2 linked regions of the Coturnix japonica genome follow. The protein of the gene in region 1 interacts with the protein of each later gene in a pairwise test. Links are inferred from orthologs where the notes say so. Each region holds a gene or a part of one and is shown on either strand. Other genes may lie near its edges.

What was found.
Region 2: the proteins of RBFOX2 (region 1) and QKI interact in binary tests that used the Homo sapiens proteins (3 or more experiments, as listed by UniProt). The link is inferred for Coturnix japonica from reciprocal best matches to the Homo sapiens genes RBFOX2 and QKI.

What each region holds. Positions count from the first base shown.
Region 1 is NC_029516.1:47,337,448-47,345,185, forward strand, and holds the start of RBFOX2 (RNA binding protein fox-1 homolog 2), read left to right. Parts: upstream 1-2,984; 5' UTR 2,985-2,999; coding exon 3,000-3,197; intron 3,198-7,738. UniProt on the Homo sapiens protein: RNA-binding protein that regulates alternative splicing events by binding to 5'-UGCAUGU-3' elements. Prevents binding of U2AF2 to the 3'-splice site.
Region 2 is NC_029518.1:39,801,335-39,809,072, reverse strand, and holds the start of QKI (protein quaking), read left to right. Parts: upstream 1-2,861; 5' UTR 2,862-3,218; coding exon 3,219-3,642; intron 3,643-7,738. UniProt on the Homo sapiens protein: RNA reader protein, which recognizes and binds specific RNAs, thereby regulating RNA metabolic processes, such as pre-mRNA splicing, circular RNA (circRNA) formation, mRNA export, mRNA stability and/or translation.

The DNA.
Region 1 (7,738 bases):
TGTCAAAGACAAGGCATTGACAAGCACTTCACAGAATTGTGCATAACATAATGGCAAATAGGCAGGAGTGCTGTGCTGCAGAAAGGGTTAACAGCAGAGGCAGCTGTCTGGTTAGCAGTCTCAGATGGCACATACACATACCTAACAGGCAGCTGGGTTGTGTGAAAAGAAATCAACAGATTATGATTGTAGTCCCAGCTCCAAGGCTTTTTTGTGACTCCAGGAATGCCTCCCATCTCCTCTGCTAAATGGAAGTAATTCCCATCCCACAAGCACACTGCGAAGATCAATTCATTAATCTTTTCTTAAGTGGAAATGCATAGAGCCAGAGAAATGCTAAGACAAAGCATCACGGCAGAATCACAGAATGGCCCGAGTTGGAAGGGACCTCAAGGATCATGAACCTCCAATTCATGCCACAGGCATGGCCACCAACCTCCCCCTTTAATACTAGACCACCCTGCCCAGGGGTACATCCAGCCTGGCCTTGAACACCTGCAGGGATGGCAGCAATGACAGAAAGCAAGCACTAGCACACAGCACACCAGTGGAAACTGAGGGTTGGCTTGGCAGCGAAGGCACAGGGACTCTTGTTGACTATTCCACGCACACCAGCACTGAGGGCTCTCCAGGGTCTATTGCTGCCCTGCCAAAAATGCCTTGTCAGGGGACCTGCCCTCAGCATCACTCACAGGCCAGAGCTGAGAGGGATGGGAGTAGGGGAAGGTAGGTAGAAGTGGAGTGGGGTACCACAGAGCAACTCTGTCTTGCAGTATTTCTCAGGGAGAATATCAGACATATCACAGACGTGTGACTATCAGAGAGGGGGGCAATCAAGTGCGCTCATATAGATTTGTTTCTAAACTGTTTACTTCTAACTTGAATCCAGGCTGAATCCTGTAAGAAGCACTTGAAGCATCCTGCAACATCTCACAGGCAGTATCTTCACCTGTGATCTCCACTCACAGCTGCCCCACTGAAATTAGGATGAAGATAAGGATGAAGATGCTTTTCTCCCAAGGAGCAGCATCTCAGCCACGAGACTCTGCACTTCTTTTCGAGCTAAGGGCAGACTTGAACGTGTGCCTTCAGTGTTGTTTGACAGCCTGGCTCACTTTATCAAACCCGGTTGAGATGAATGAGACATGTGTTTACCCTCGGTGGGCGAGCAGACTGAAGCTGCGTGTAATTGTCCTCTGGGTGCCTGCCACTCCGTGGGGATTTGTAATCGTTCTGAAAAAAAAAAAAAGAGATTTCCCTGTCACTGGAGGAGACAAACTGGCACCTCATAGCAAAAACATACCACTTAAAATAGCTTTTAACGTGGCCTTGAAGACTATTTTTGGATGAAGAAAAATGTGGTGTATGGGAAGACTGGAGCCAAGCATTGTAACTGCCACTCGCAGCCAAAAGCTGTATGGTTTTCTTAATGTCAGCAGGCCTGTAGGGACCCACCAAGACCACCTAGTGGGTGTCCAGGCTGCACGGCACTCTCGAGAAGTAGAGCATGGCTTCCTTGTGTGTGTGCTGGCACATTGTGACCACTGCCATTTCTGGTTGACTCCTTTTGATCCGGTTGGATCAATGGGCTGAGGCCAATTGTATGAGCTTCAACAAGACCAAGTTTCGGGTGCTGCACTGTGATCACGGCAACCCCATGCAGTGCTATAGGTCTGGGGCAGAGCAGCTGGGAAGTTGTGTGGAGGAAAAAGATCTGGTGGTGTTCGTTGACAGCCAGATGAATGTGAGCCAGCAGTGTGCCTGGTAGCCTAGAAGGCCAACGGCATCCCGGCTTGTACCAGCATTAGTGCAGCCAGCAGGAGCAGGGAGGTGACCATCCCTCTGTACTCAGCTCTGGTGAGGCCGCACCTCCAGTGCTGTGTTCAGTTCTGGGCCCCTCACTGCCAGAAAGACATGGAGGCCCTGGAGCGTGTCCATAGAAGGGCAGTGGAGCTGTGAGGGGTCTGGAGCACAAGTGTGATGGGGAGCAGCTGAGGGAAATGGGGTTGGTCAGTCTGGAGGAGGCTCAGAGGAGACCTTATTGCTCTCTATAACGACCTGAAAGGAGGTTGTGGTGAGGTGGGGGTCGGCCTCTGCTCCCAGATAACAGTGATAGGATGAAAGGGAATGGCCTCAAGGTGCACCAGGGGAGGTTCAGGTTGGATATGAGGAAAGATTGAGATATGAGGAAGGTGCTGCAGTGGCACAAGCTGCACAGGGAGGTGGTGCAGTCACCGTCCCTGGAGGTGTTCAGAGCCGTGTGGATGTGGCACTGAGGGATGTGGTCAGTGGGCATGGTGGGGATGGGCTGCTGGTTGGACCAGATACTCTTAGAGGTCTTTTCCAACCTTAACGATTCCGTGATTGTTTTCCTCTGACACAGGGTTACAGACACGGGCCGATGTACAGGCCTTAGGCTTCTGTTATGCTTAGTTACACATCAGAAACACGCTGTGAGGGTCCGAAAGTGGATCACCGCTCGCCCAGTCAGCGCATCCCCACACTCGGGGCTCCCATCAGCGCGGCGCTCTGAGGCGAAGCCACCGACCTCACCCGCAGGTAGCAGCCTCAGCCCCCCGCCTTCCTCCCGCAGCGCAGACGCCTCACGCCGGCGGGAGGCGGCGGGCACGGCGAGGCCGTATCGAGGCGGCCATTTTCCGCCCTCCGCCGTGCGCCCCGTGCCCCGCCGCGGCCCCGCCCCGCCCCGCCGTCCCTCCCCTCCCCTCGCCCCGCCCTCCGCCGTCGCCGAAGGTTGCCGAGTGGGGGTCGCGCGGCTTCGGCACCTCCGGAGATTGCCGAGGGGCTTCGGCCCCTCCCCGGCCGCCGCCGAGCCCGTGACCGAGGCGCTCCGGTGGGTCGGAGCCCGCCGCGCTCGCACGCAGCTCCTCCGCCCGCTCCTTCTCCTCGTCCTCCTGCTGCTGTCCTCCGGCGGGGCCGGGCGGCGCGGTGACAGAGCGGGGCGACCGCGGCGGGGGGCGGCCGGGGCTCCGGCGGCGCGGATGGCGGAGGGCGGCCAGCCCCCGCAGCAGCAGCAGCAGCCACAGCCGCAGCTCCTGACCGGCGGCGGCGGCGGGGCCGCCCGCGGCGTGAAGCGGGAGCCGGAGCTGGAGCAACCCATGCCCGGCGGGGACGGCGCCGAGGGCGGCCACAGCAAGCGGCTGCGGACGGAGGCGGAGGCGGAGGGCGGCGGCATGCAGGTAGCGAGGCCGCGGGGCCCGGCCCGCACACGCACGGCGTGTCCCGGGGCCGCGCGGAGGGCGCGGGGTGCGGGGTGCGGCGGGGCCGTAAGCGGCGCCGTGCCCAGGTGCGGGCTGTGCCCCTCGCCGGGGCGTGGGTGCTTCCCTTTGTCTGTGTGCGCGTGGATCGCTTTATTGTGGATCGCTTTATTGTGGGTCGCTTCATTATGGCAAAGCGGGATAGGATTTTTTTTTTCCTTTTTTTTTTTTTTTCCCCCCTTTTTTCTTGGCTTCAGTTCCTCGTAGCACATCTATGGTGGGAGCAGTGCAATGTATCCATCCCAACTTCTCCTCGCTCGGTCTCTCTTACCGGTGAGAGTTTCAGCTCGCCGCAGCATCCCCGGCTCCTCTCGTTGTCCCGTGACTCTCCCTCCCCATTCCCCGGCTGCCCCTGGTCCTCGCGGGCCCTCCTGGAGGCCTCCCGCTCGTGCCGTGTGGCGCTGCTGCAGCCTCGTGCCTCTGAGGGAGCACAGCGAGTCGTGGGCCGGCTGGGGGAGCTGGGGCTGTGCGGAGGAGCTCAGGGGAGACCTCATCGCTCCCTACAGTGACCTGAGAGGAGGTTGTGCTGAGGTGGGGGTCGGCCTCTGCTCCCAGGTAACAGTGATAGGGTGAGAGGGAATGGCCTCAGGTCGCACCAGGGGAGGTTCAGGTTGGATATGAGGAAAGATTTCTTCCCTGGAAGAGCGGTGCTGCAGTGGCACAGGCTGCCCAGGGAGGTGGTGCAGTCACCGTCCCTGGAGGTGTTCCAGAGCTGTGTGGATGTGGCACTGAGGGACGTGGTCAGTGGGCATGGTGGGGATGGGCTGCTGGTTGGACCAGGTGATCTTAGATCCAGCTTTAATGGTTTTGTGATTCTGTGAGGCTGCAGCTTTGCCTGCACGTGAGGCCTGGGCATGGCATGAGGGTGCTGGGTGCCACTGGGTCCTGTGCTGCTGTGGGACATGTACCCGTTGTGCTGCAGCTGGTGCCAAGCTGGGTGGTATCCATGTGGACCAGTCAACCTACTGACAGTTCCCCACCAAGGGACTTGATCTGGTTTAACAGCCCTAAAATTCAGTTTTTTACATATACGTTGTCTGTATCCATTAAAGCTGTGCTCCACATTCAGATGAAGGAAAGTATTTTGTTTTCTGCTCATTGACTGCTTCGAGGCAGTAGGATTGCAGTGGTGGGGCTCCCTCAGTGGGCACACACAGCCATGTTAGCACAGTAGGAATGGATGGGGCTGGGTATCAATGCCCAACACTGCCAAACATCCGGGAAATTAAATTCTACATCTTTGTCCCAAGAAGCGAAGATGGACCATAAGGTGGCTTTCATCAGTGTTTCTGTTCACATAGTGTGGTCTTTTGAAGTTACTTTGCTTTCAAATAACGGGTCTTTCTTTAGCATTTTCTCTGTGTTTAACTGTATGTAATGCTTACAAGCAGAATAAAGAGCCTATTCTTTGATTACTTCTTTTGCTTTTTTCATATGTACTGCAGGCTTTCTGGAGGCTGGAATTAACACCAGCGACTGTTGTACCTTGTTTTTCCTGCAGATCCTGTCAATTTTCTACTTCCTGCTCCCGGGCCACGGGCTGCTGCTGTGCAAACTCCATGACCTCGTGTTTCGAGGCTGATTGGGAGGGATCCCGGGGTGCCGCGCTTGCCACGGTTCCTTCCGTGCACAACTGATGGCTCAGGATGTGAACGCCGCTTCTGGTGCTGGGAGCAATCATTTAGCTACAGCAATTAGTAACGCAACTGGAAAATGAAGAGTGGCTTTTTTGTTGTTGTTGCTGGTGTTGTCTGGTAACGTGAAATATCAAGCCTAGTCTATGGGAAGGTAGCGGCTGGTTGCCGAGAACTTGAGGCAAAGAGAGCCTGAGAGCTGCCAGTAGCCCTTATGTTTATGGGGCTTCTTGCTTTTTGCTGCGTGCTCAGACAGCTTATGCCGTTAGGGTTTCATTATCTAATCCATCTCTGATCAGGCCGGATAAACGGTGTTTGGCCAGAGCTGATCTTGTTAGGAGGGTGGTGCAAAGCTGCTTGAGTTGGGATTGGGACAAATCGGATCATGGCTGCTATCTGCTCCTGGGACTGATCGCAGTTAATCGTGGCACGGGAGGAATGGTCGTGCACAACCTGCTGCTTTCCAGCTCCCTTTAGTGTGTGAGTGGCAAAAACCGCTGGCCAGGAATGTCTCCTGAAAGTATTTGGGTGTGTTTGTAAGCTTTGGAAAAGAAGGGCCCCAGAGGTACTGCTGCTTTTTAACTGTTTAGATCCTAGCTAGGAATGGGATCACTCGTTGCTTGCAGGCTTGGGTGAGTGGAATCGTTTGGATCAGCCCCCTGATCTGCGTAAAAATCATCCCCAACAGAGGGGATGACAGTATACTGGCCTCAGTCACTGGTGAAACTTCACCCCGAGGCAGTTGTTGATGCAGCTGTATTTGATGCTTTTCAGACGGGGTTGCTGTACAGATGGAAAGTTCTCCTGCAGTAAGCTTGTCTTTAATCGTGCGAGGAACACTGGGAACAGCGGCCAGTGGGGAAGAGCCCCTTCTTTCTCTTCAGGGCTGTAGATGAGGCTGTCAAGTCAAGATGCTGTGTTCCTTCCCTGTCGTTGTGCTAAAGGTGTGCCAGCTGGCTTAAGCTGCTGAGGGAAGTTGTTATTAAACTAGCTTGTAGCTTTGCATGGGGTTGAATGAGTTGATTCGGTCCCCAAGGTGAATTTTGATTTAATTTTTCTGAGGTCTGCTCTGGTTAGTGAATTAAAAGTGTGTCTGAGAGTAATGTGGTAGGAGTTAGATGAAGAGTGTGCGGAATTGATCCTTCTTCAAGAACGACTTCTGTGCTCAGTATCCCCGAGTCCCTGGGATGTGGCTGATCAGGGAGGGTGTTTAACACAGCTTCTGGCCTGCGCCTTATCTAGTCCACGTGAACTTTTAATGGCTGCAACAAGTGACTTTGTGTTGCCATTCTGGCATGTTAGCATGGGGTTTGTAAAGATGGCTGGTGCTTTGGCATCAGTCCTTTGTAGCAGAAGAGGTCCAGGCAGGGATGCGATGGCTGTTGCCAGTTTGAGGTGAAAATTCCTGCGTGGTCTGAAATGGAGCTGTGTGCTTAACCTCGAGTGGTGTGCATGGGAGGGATCTCAATGACTGGCCTGTTCCGTGGTTTCATGGTTCAAGCTGTGGACCCTCTGTGGTTCTTCAGATGAGGATGAGAGATGGATCTGCTACTAATTTCCAAAGATGGTTTTGAGGCTTTTATGAGTAGAGGGGCTGACTGGGGCTGTGAAACAGAAGAGGCCTGTGAACAACAGCTTCTGAACCGCGTGTGACCCTGTGGAAATCGGAGTATTTAAATCTCATGGAGGGGAACACCTAGTTCCAATTCATCATGGCAAAGCATGACTCAAAATCAGGTTAGCTTTTCCCCCCTCTTATTATTCATGCCGTGACCGTCTTCGTAAAGAAGCAGCAACACAAAATGTCTGAGATATCCAAGATGAGGAATGGAATTCCACTTTTACAAAGCTGACCCCTGCCTTGGGTCCAGGATGAAGTTGGTGGGATGCTGTTTGGACAGGCTGTTGTGGAGGTACTGAGGTGTAGGGAATCACCTTTTCCTTTGTTGTTACTTCTCTGTTTGCTTTTGACCTATGGTTGTTTTTTTCATGTTGTTGCTGTTCTGTTTTTGTTTTAAATATTTGAGTGTTCGGAGTTACCTGACACTGTCTGGGAAGGCTTAGAAAAACTCCAGTTCAAAGCACCCTTTTGGCACGCAGGCTGAAAGTTGGGATTATAGAGGTGCTGGGAGCACTTTAAAGTTGGCTCTTTTCCTGCCATATTCGGGAAAATGGAAAGCCCCAATCAAGTATTGTGGATACTTGAGTACCCCTGCAGGCAATGCCCGTGTTTCTCTTTGGATTTCAGAGGTTTGTGTTTAGAGGCGATGGCTGGAGTTGAGAGATTGGAAGCTGAGCAGAGGTCTGGCTTTGCTGGAGCTGGTTTCCTTCTGCATGTGTGTACCAGCTGTACGCATACGCTTACTAATTTTTCCTTTCCAGAACTCCCATTTAGACGCACAAGCGTGCTGGCATCTGCAGGATGCCTGGGCTCTCTTTTTGCAAGAGCTGAGCTCGGAGCGGTATGTCTCTCAGCATCGTTTGGCTTTTCCTCCCAGGGAACCTATCAGCAGGGCTCCCACTCGCTCTCTGGCATTTATGCCTCACCTCTCTGCTTCCAGGTAATAAAAACAACAAACCCACGCAAAACAGAACCAAAGCTAGGCCAGTGGTGAGCCATGTGTGTGGAAGCCATGGACCTGAGCAGGGCTCTGTGTGTGGCCTGGGGCCCCCCGGAGACCTGCTAAAGGGCTGCTTGCTGGTAGCTTGTGAAAATAAGCCTATCGCTGGTGGCCTTCGGGCTGCTGCGCGGGAACCTCTGGCCCTCAGGGCGTTTTGGGTAGAAATTGTTGTAAAACCTATTAGTCTGTGCTGATGGCTCGTCTTGTG
Region 2 (7,738 bases), on another chromosome or scaffold:
CATAGGTACAGCTGCTACCGCCTTGTACACTGTGAATGAATTGACAACAGTCCTGGAGTAGTATTTTTCCTTGGATGACTGTAATGGGTAAGGGAAGAACTGCTTCCTTTCCTGAAGGAGGGCAACATGGCACGTTGGTGTCTTCCTGTTATAGAAAGCATTTCAGAAAGCTGATGCCATCCAACTGTATGTGCCTATGACTAAGTCAACAGAGATGCTTTAAAGAATGTTTCCCAGTAGTCATCAACCTTTAGCACTCCTACTTCCCAAGCTGCTATCAGATAGGAACACTATAGCAGTAATTGAATTTGCTTTTTATGATCGGTGTGAGGCCTTTACTGCCATAGACAGAGACTGCTGCCGGCATAATCATATTTTTTTCTTATTTCAAGATTAGATTAATGCAATAAAACTTCACCTTTAAAAAATAAGCTGCTGGAGAATACTACAGTTTATATGACACAAGAAAGGCTACCTAGATAAAACGCAGGAGTTAAAGATAAGGACTTCTGTTGGTGTTCCGACAGAAACTAATGGGTTATGTAGTTACCTGAAGAAACTTGACAAGCCATAGGACCTGATTAATGTCCAACAAAAAACTAAAGGAACAAAAAAGATGCCCGCCCCCACCAATACTACACCATCTCCCTCCCAACCCACAATCCCTGTTTACCCAGCCCTGCCCCCTCTATATTTCTTCCCCCCCTGGGAAAACTCCAAAGTTCAATCCAAAGCAGGAGTATTTCTGCTGCTTCTGTAGATTAGGTTGCAGGCAGGCCAGTCTTTTTGGGAGTTATACCTTCACGCTGATCTTGAAGCAGAACTAATTCAACCTTTACTCCCATGCATTCCCATTTCCTGGAAGTGCAGGAAGGTGGAAGAACACAGAACACAAGGTATGCAGACAGGCTTTTATGTAGATTTTCTGTTTTTGCAGAATACTTGATGAAGAAAGATGTCATACTGATCTACTTATTTAAAACTAATGGCGCGATGTCTACATTTTGTCACAGCATTCGGCTTCTCCAAGGGCATTTTTCCAATGATTTAAGTTCAGTCTCGAGGCACTTGTGACAAAATAAAAGATGAGAGGTTTTCCCTAAGTCATTTATCCTTAATTACGCAGGCAGCCTCAGCATGTAGCTCTGCCTCCATTTTTGTACCGTTCAGATTAGAAAAACAATTCAGATTAACGCGTGGCAAAGCAGAGCTTGAATTTGCATTGAAATGCATGAGTGATTCCAGTAACTGCTGGTGTGCAACATCTTGTTCACCAGTAAATAAATGGAAAATAGCTTAGTAGAAGATTTATTGTTCTCAGTAGGCAAGACAACAGATAGTTATTGCACATCTGATGTTGGTGTTTCTTACCTTATATTGTGTACTTGCTTCACCTGCTCATATCCAAACAGTGGAAGCACTTTATGTGCAGGAAGCAATAATGAAGCAGCATGGGAACAGCTGTACCGAATCTTCTGAAAAAAATAAAAAATCTCCATATGCTATTTTTACTGTGAGAACTGGTAGTCCAGAATTATTATTCTGACATTATCTAAGCTCATCTAATTGTAAGATGCAGCCTGACACTGACGGCCTCAATCAGATCAGAGCAGTTCTCCCACTCGCTGCTCAAAAACTAGCAGATAAATAAATGGTAACAATAACACACCACCCTTCAGGCTGATCACAGAATTGTAGGGGTTGGAAGGGACCTCTAGAGATCATCGAGTCCAACCCCCCTGCCAAAGCACGCTCCCTACACCACGTCACACAGGTAGGCGTCCAGGAGGGTCTTGAATATCTCCAGAGAAGGAGACTCCACCACCTCCCTGGGCAGCCTGTTCCAGAAAAGGACGGCGGTCTGGTTTGGCATGTAAGGTTTGGTATTGCTCATCATGCTTCTAGAACAAGAGAGGAATGGAACAAATACAGCCTTGTCACTGAATAGCAGCAGCACCGTGTCATCATCCATAGCCATGCTGCAGGGTGCTCCGGGCATGCAACACAGGGACCAGCAACACACATCTGAAGAAAGCAAAGCAAAACAGCCTGCAAAGTCGCTACTCTCTTTCATAATAAAGATGATTTAAAAAAAATAAATAAATAATGGAAGCAATGAGGCTTATCTTACATAAACCATTACATTTTACTTCACATAAACCAAACGGAAGCGAAATACAAATCATTGTGTCTATCTCAGATAAAGAGTTATCGGAGATGGCCGCGGTCCCTTTCCCCGAGGCGGAGCCCCCCGTACCTCACCCCGTACCTCACCCCGCACCTCACCCCGCACCTCACCCCGCACCTCACCCCGCACCTCACCCCGCACCTCATCCCACGCCGCTCCCGCTCCAGCCGCGCTGCCGCTTTAAGGATTATTACAACCCGCTCCTCTCTCCGCTCGCACCGCCCCTCTCCCCCCACTCCTCCTCCACGGCGGCGCATGCTCGGCGCTGCCGACCGCCTCCCTCCCTCGGCGGCTCCGTGTGCTCCTCTCACCGCGCGAGACGCTCGGCGCTGGGGCTCTCCCCGCCCCGTCCCCTCCCGGCAGCGCAGCGGGCTCAGCGCCTCGACTTTGTTTGGCAGCTCCGGGTGCGCGCAGCCTCCGAGCGGGTGTGTCGGAGGGAGCCCCGCCCCCCGGCCCCGCCGTGCGCGGGCAGCCGGCAGCCGGCAGCGGTTGGCTCCGCCAAGCGGCGCTGCTGCCGCCGCGTAACGGCCGCCCCGCCCGGCGTCCCGCCCCCGGCATGTCCCCGCCCCCGCGGGCCCTGCCCCCTCCCCTCCTCCTGCCGCCGCTGCCGCTGCTGCCAGCGCAGCCTGAACTGAAGCGAACTCCAGAGCGAACTGAGGAGAAGTGAGGAGGCGGCGGCGGGGCTGACGCTCACAGCCACAGGCGGCGGCGGCGGCGGCAGCGGGAGGGCGGGCGGGCGGCAGGCGGCAGGCGCAGAGGAGGACGCGCCCGGCGCAGCGCGGCGGCGACAACAGCGGCACCGGCGGAGAGAGCCCGGCGGCGGCGGCGGCTCCTTGGCAGCGCCAGCGCCCGCCCGCCCCGCTCGTCCCCTCCCCGCCTCCCTCCCTCCCTTCCCCCGCCGCGGAGCGGAGCCGGGCTCGGCGCGGGAGGAGCGGCGGCGGCAGCAGGAGCGGGGACGCGGCCGGGACCGCACCGGCCGAGGGCGCGCGGAGCGGGGGAGCGGCGGCCCCGAGAGGCGGCGGCAGCGGCGATGACTCCGCGCGGCCGGGGCGGAGGGCGCGCCCACAGCGGGGTCTCTCCGACTTTGCTTTTTTTTTCCTTGTTCCCCGCCGGCCCCTCGGACTCGGGAGCGCGGCGCTCGCGGCTCGGAATCCTCCTCCTCCTCCTCCTCCTCCTCCTTCCTCGGGGAGCTCCCTCCCCGCCCCGCCCCTCCCCCGCCGGCCCGCCCGATCCCGCCGGGCGCCCCGTGTCGCCGTCGCCTCGCTCGGCGGAGCTGCTGCGGGCGCTCGCCCTGTGCGCGCGGGCTTGGAATATGGTTGGGGAAATGGAAGCCAAGGAGAAGCCGAAGCCGAGCCCCGATTACCTGATGCAGCTGATGAACAACAAGAAGCTGATGAGCAGCCTCCCCAACTTCTGCGGGATCTTCAACCACCTCGAGTGGCTGCTGGACGAAGGTACGCGCCCCGCCCGGCCCTTCCCTCCCCGAGCCGGGCCCCTCGCGGCGGCGGGGGCAGCGCCGGGCCTGCTCCGCTCCGCGCTGCCGGTGCGCCCCAAACAAAGGGGAAGTGCGGGCTCTCCCCGCCCCGGCCGCTGCCTGCGCGCCGCGGGTCCCGGCTCTCGGCGTTCCCTCCGCAGTGTTTTTAGTATTATTTTATTTTCTCTTTTCTCCCGTCCTCGGGAGCCCGGGGGGGGGAGGGAGAGAGGCGCGGAGCTGAGGAATGCGCTCCGGGGGGAGGAGGAGGAGCGGGGCCCGCGGCGCGGCCGGGCCGGTGCCGGAGGGGGGAGCGGGGCCTACGGGGGGCGGGGGGCCGAGCTCCGGCCGCGGCGCGCCCCACCCGAGCCGAGCGGCCGAGGAACGCTGGCGGTCCCCTCGAGTGGGGAGTGGAGAGCAGAGGGCCGGCTCTCCTCCCTGCTCTCCCTGCTGCAGAAACTAACTTGAAAGACTCGTATGTGCGAGTTGAGCGGGGAGAAAAACACCCCGTGCTTACGAAATGGCCTCGTTGGCTCCGGCCGGGCGCCGGCGGCCCCGGGGGCAGCTCCTGCTCTGGGAAAGGGGGGGGTGCCCCTCTTTGTGCGCGGCCCCGTAGGGCCACGTTCTGTTGATGGGTAACGGCGTCTGGGGGAAAGGGAAAGTAAAGGCTGGCAACTAGGTGCGTCCCACACGGCTCTCTCCATGTGATAATAGCCCCACTGTACTGGACGTCAGGCCGGGCGATCGTTCGTGGCACTTAAATTTGCTTTGTGCCTGGGTTCGCGCGTTTAGTTTTCTCGTTAGAAGCATTTTGTTTCACTCCACCTCAAACTCATGCTTTGCACTGAGTTAGACCTGTTTGGCGTATTTGTAACACGTTCTGAAGCTAGGAATTATTTATGCAGCCTCAACTTCTTGAGATTCTTTGCGTGAAGTTACCCGGTTTCATAATCTCAGAGTTAGGATTCCTGGTGGTGGACATAGTCCTCCTTGATAACAGAACTTTGGGAAGTTGTTGACCTCGGGAGATGAAGGCTCTGGTTATATTTGGTAGAACAACTCCCCGCCCTCTCCGAGACTGTGAAAAACAGATAGTGGTTGTAGTGCTGCAAACCCGACCTATTTGGAATGGTGGCTTCGGAATGAGCAATGGAGCAGCACAAAAAAGTGGACGACGCAGGAGATGGACCGTGGGAGCGGTATCATGGGAAGTTCTGGTTTTACTTTCAAGAATTTGGGGAGGTGAACTTCCAGCAGAGCACATCTGGATGTGGAAAGCAAAACTACATAGAACATGGTGTTTTCTTGTTCACTCCACCAAGCGTTCTTTTCACAACATTTAGAAGTATAGGAAACAGTGGGAAGAAACATAACTGAGAAGATTTCTTCATTTTTTTTTTGTTTGTTTTCTGAAGCCAGAAGAGCCTCACAGGGACTTGGTGTTGGAGTTCTGAATTTCGAAACCTCTTCAGCTCGATATACTCGAACCAGAGGAGGCCCAGATTGTTCTGTTTGTTTTGTTGCTGTTGTTTTTTTTCCTCAGAGAACAAAAGAGAGGAAAACATTTTCTGTACAAAAAAGCACACAAAGGAATATCTAAAATCCAGGCACCCTCTGACATTTTGATTTTCTTTTTCGAAATACTAAACGCTCTGGACAGCTGTTTTCTGAACTATTCCAATTCCCAAACGAGGGCTGTGGGGACTCTGAGAGAAAAAGTTGTCGAAGAGTTGTGTTGAAGCTCTTCTTTGTGCACTTCATTAAAATAAACCAAATAGTGTGTTTCTAAACAGTCTCAAGAATATTTCTGCAATCCCTTTAAGCGATTTTGCTTTTCCTGTTTACGTTGGCAGTTGGATGGAAGTATTGTGGAGGCTGAAAACTTTTTGGAATGTTGGAGAAAAAAAAGCAAACTGTTTCATGCAAATGAGTCAATTGCTTGAAGACTTCAAAATCTGAACACTAAGGGGCGCCAGTTATTTTTCTTCTGAAGCGTGAGGCCGGCCTCTGAACGCCATTAGGAACTTGAATAGCGAAATTAACTCATCTAGGAGCACATACCAAAGATCGACGGAAATAGCTGTGGAATTGCGTGCGTGTCTTTGTTGGTACGGACTTGTACATGGCCTGTGCCGTATAGGCAGTATTGCATAGGTGGGATAGTCATTGTGATGCACAGCTGAGAGGCCAGAGCAGCTCGTTCTGTGCAACAGCTGTCCTGGCTGCCTAAAGGCTCCCTCTTCACTGCCTTCAGCTGTTTGCTGCGTTGACATTCTCCAGCAGAGTTTTGTAGCTTGCTGGAAGAGTCTGTAAGATTCAGAACGTTTCCTTAGAAGTGTAATATTTAACACTTCCATGAGTTGTTTCCTTGCACCCATGAGAGTATGAAAACAAGAGGGACGGGTGTCTGCATGTGTTGGTTGTATGTGTGTAAAAGCACGTAGTGTTGGTGTTTCCCCTTGACACTGTGGGGTTGGTGTGCTGCTTCTTGCTTGGAATTCTGTGGTTCAGGTGGTGCTTATTGTAGGGCCATCCTCCCGAAGGTGCTGTGTATGTTTGAGAAGTCCAGTACTTCCAGACAACTGTTGGACTGTCAGCCTTTGTATTTTATTTTCTACCAGCCTAAACAAAGAACGCACGCCACAAACCTGGGAGCTCAGAAGCAGCGTAGCATTGCTTTCTCTACCAGAATGCCCATCTTCTTAATTTTATTTGCTTTACACGTTGAAATTTAAAAGCTAAAATCAGACCGGTGTGTGTATTGATCACTCCTTGAACACAGAAATCTTCTGTACACAGAAATGAACTCAGAGATTTAGACTAACTGTACATCTAATCTGAGTAGGTCTCAGAACACGCATCTCATTTTTGACCTATTCCTGATAGCCAAAGTACATCTTCCTTTCTGAGCTCTGTCCTCTTGTCTGATCTCTGAAAATCGTAGTGCTTAATTTAGTAGATGGTCTCAGCTTGACAGCATTTGTTTTTAAGATGGGCATTAATGTGAGCAGTGTATGGAGGAAACTTCTGTTAATGAACTATTTCCTAATAAAATAGGAAAGTCACAGCTTTGTTTAGGTTACAGATATTTTTGCATAAGTGTGCTTTCAACTTCTTGTGTGTAAATAAGGCTTTTGTGGAGCAGTGAGGATGTTTAAAGCGCACATCATAATAACTAGGAAACTGGATTGTTTTTATCAGCCTAGTGCAAACCTGTGGGAAGAGAGGGCTTTTCCTGAACGTGGAATAGGCTGTATTTCCTGTCATTGTTTGCACCATCAAATGTGACCTGATAGATTTTTTTTTTTGTGCTTCAAGTTCTTAATATTATTAACTTTAATGATTCTAACCTAGAAGATGCGTATATATGCGTACACGCACACATATGTTTTGGGGGAATAACTTTTCCCCTGTTGTGTAAAATGAATGTGTTGTACCATCTTTCTTGCTTTACATTTTTTAATAAATCGGACATTTAGATCTCTAAATGCATTCTGACCTACTGAAATTTCGTGAGTTACTTTGGTGCTTTTCTTTCAACAGACTTGGAACAAATGAACCTAAATCATAAAATAAGATCCGCGTAATGTAATTATATTTAAGAGCTTTGTTTGCTTGAACCTGTAGCTGCTCAGAAGGTGGTCATTGATTGGAATGGATGCAGATCTAAGCTGTGGCATAGACTTTTTTTTTCCAAAACCTTCTTTTTGTCAAAGAAGGTTTTGACAAAAAAATATCACCAGGAATTCCTTCTTCTTTAAGCTGAAGGTGACTGAAGTGCGCCTTCCCTGAAATATGAGTGAAGCCATGCATCCAGCTTTTGGAGAGAAACCTAATTTAATGTCAAGTAGGCTGACTGTGCTTGAATAGCAGTAATAATAAAGCATCTAGATAGGGGTTAAGGAGGATAACTTTTTCTGGCGTGTTGCTATCAGCTTACTGTGCTCGCTGAAGAAAATATGTGTGAGCTTGCATAGTTCAGTGCTTAAAACTGCAGTTTCATGTCAGTGTCGCCTTACCTAAAATGTCTGCTTAAGTTAGGACCGGAGAACTGGCTTTGGGTGTTGTAGATAAGTTCT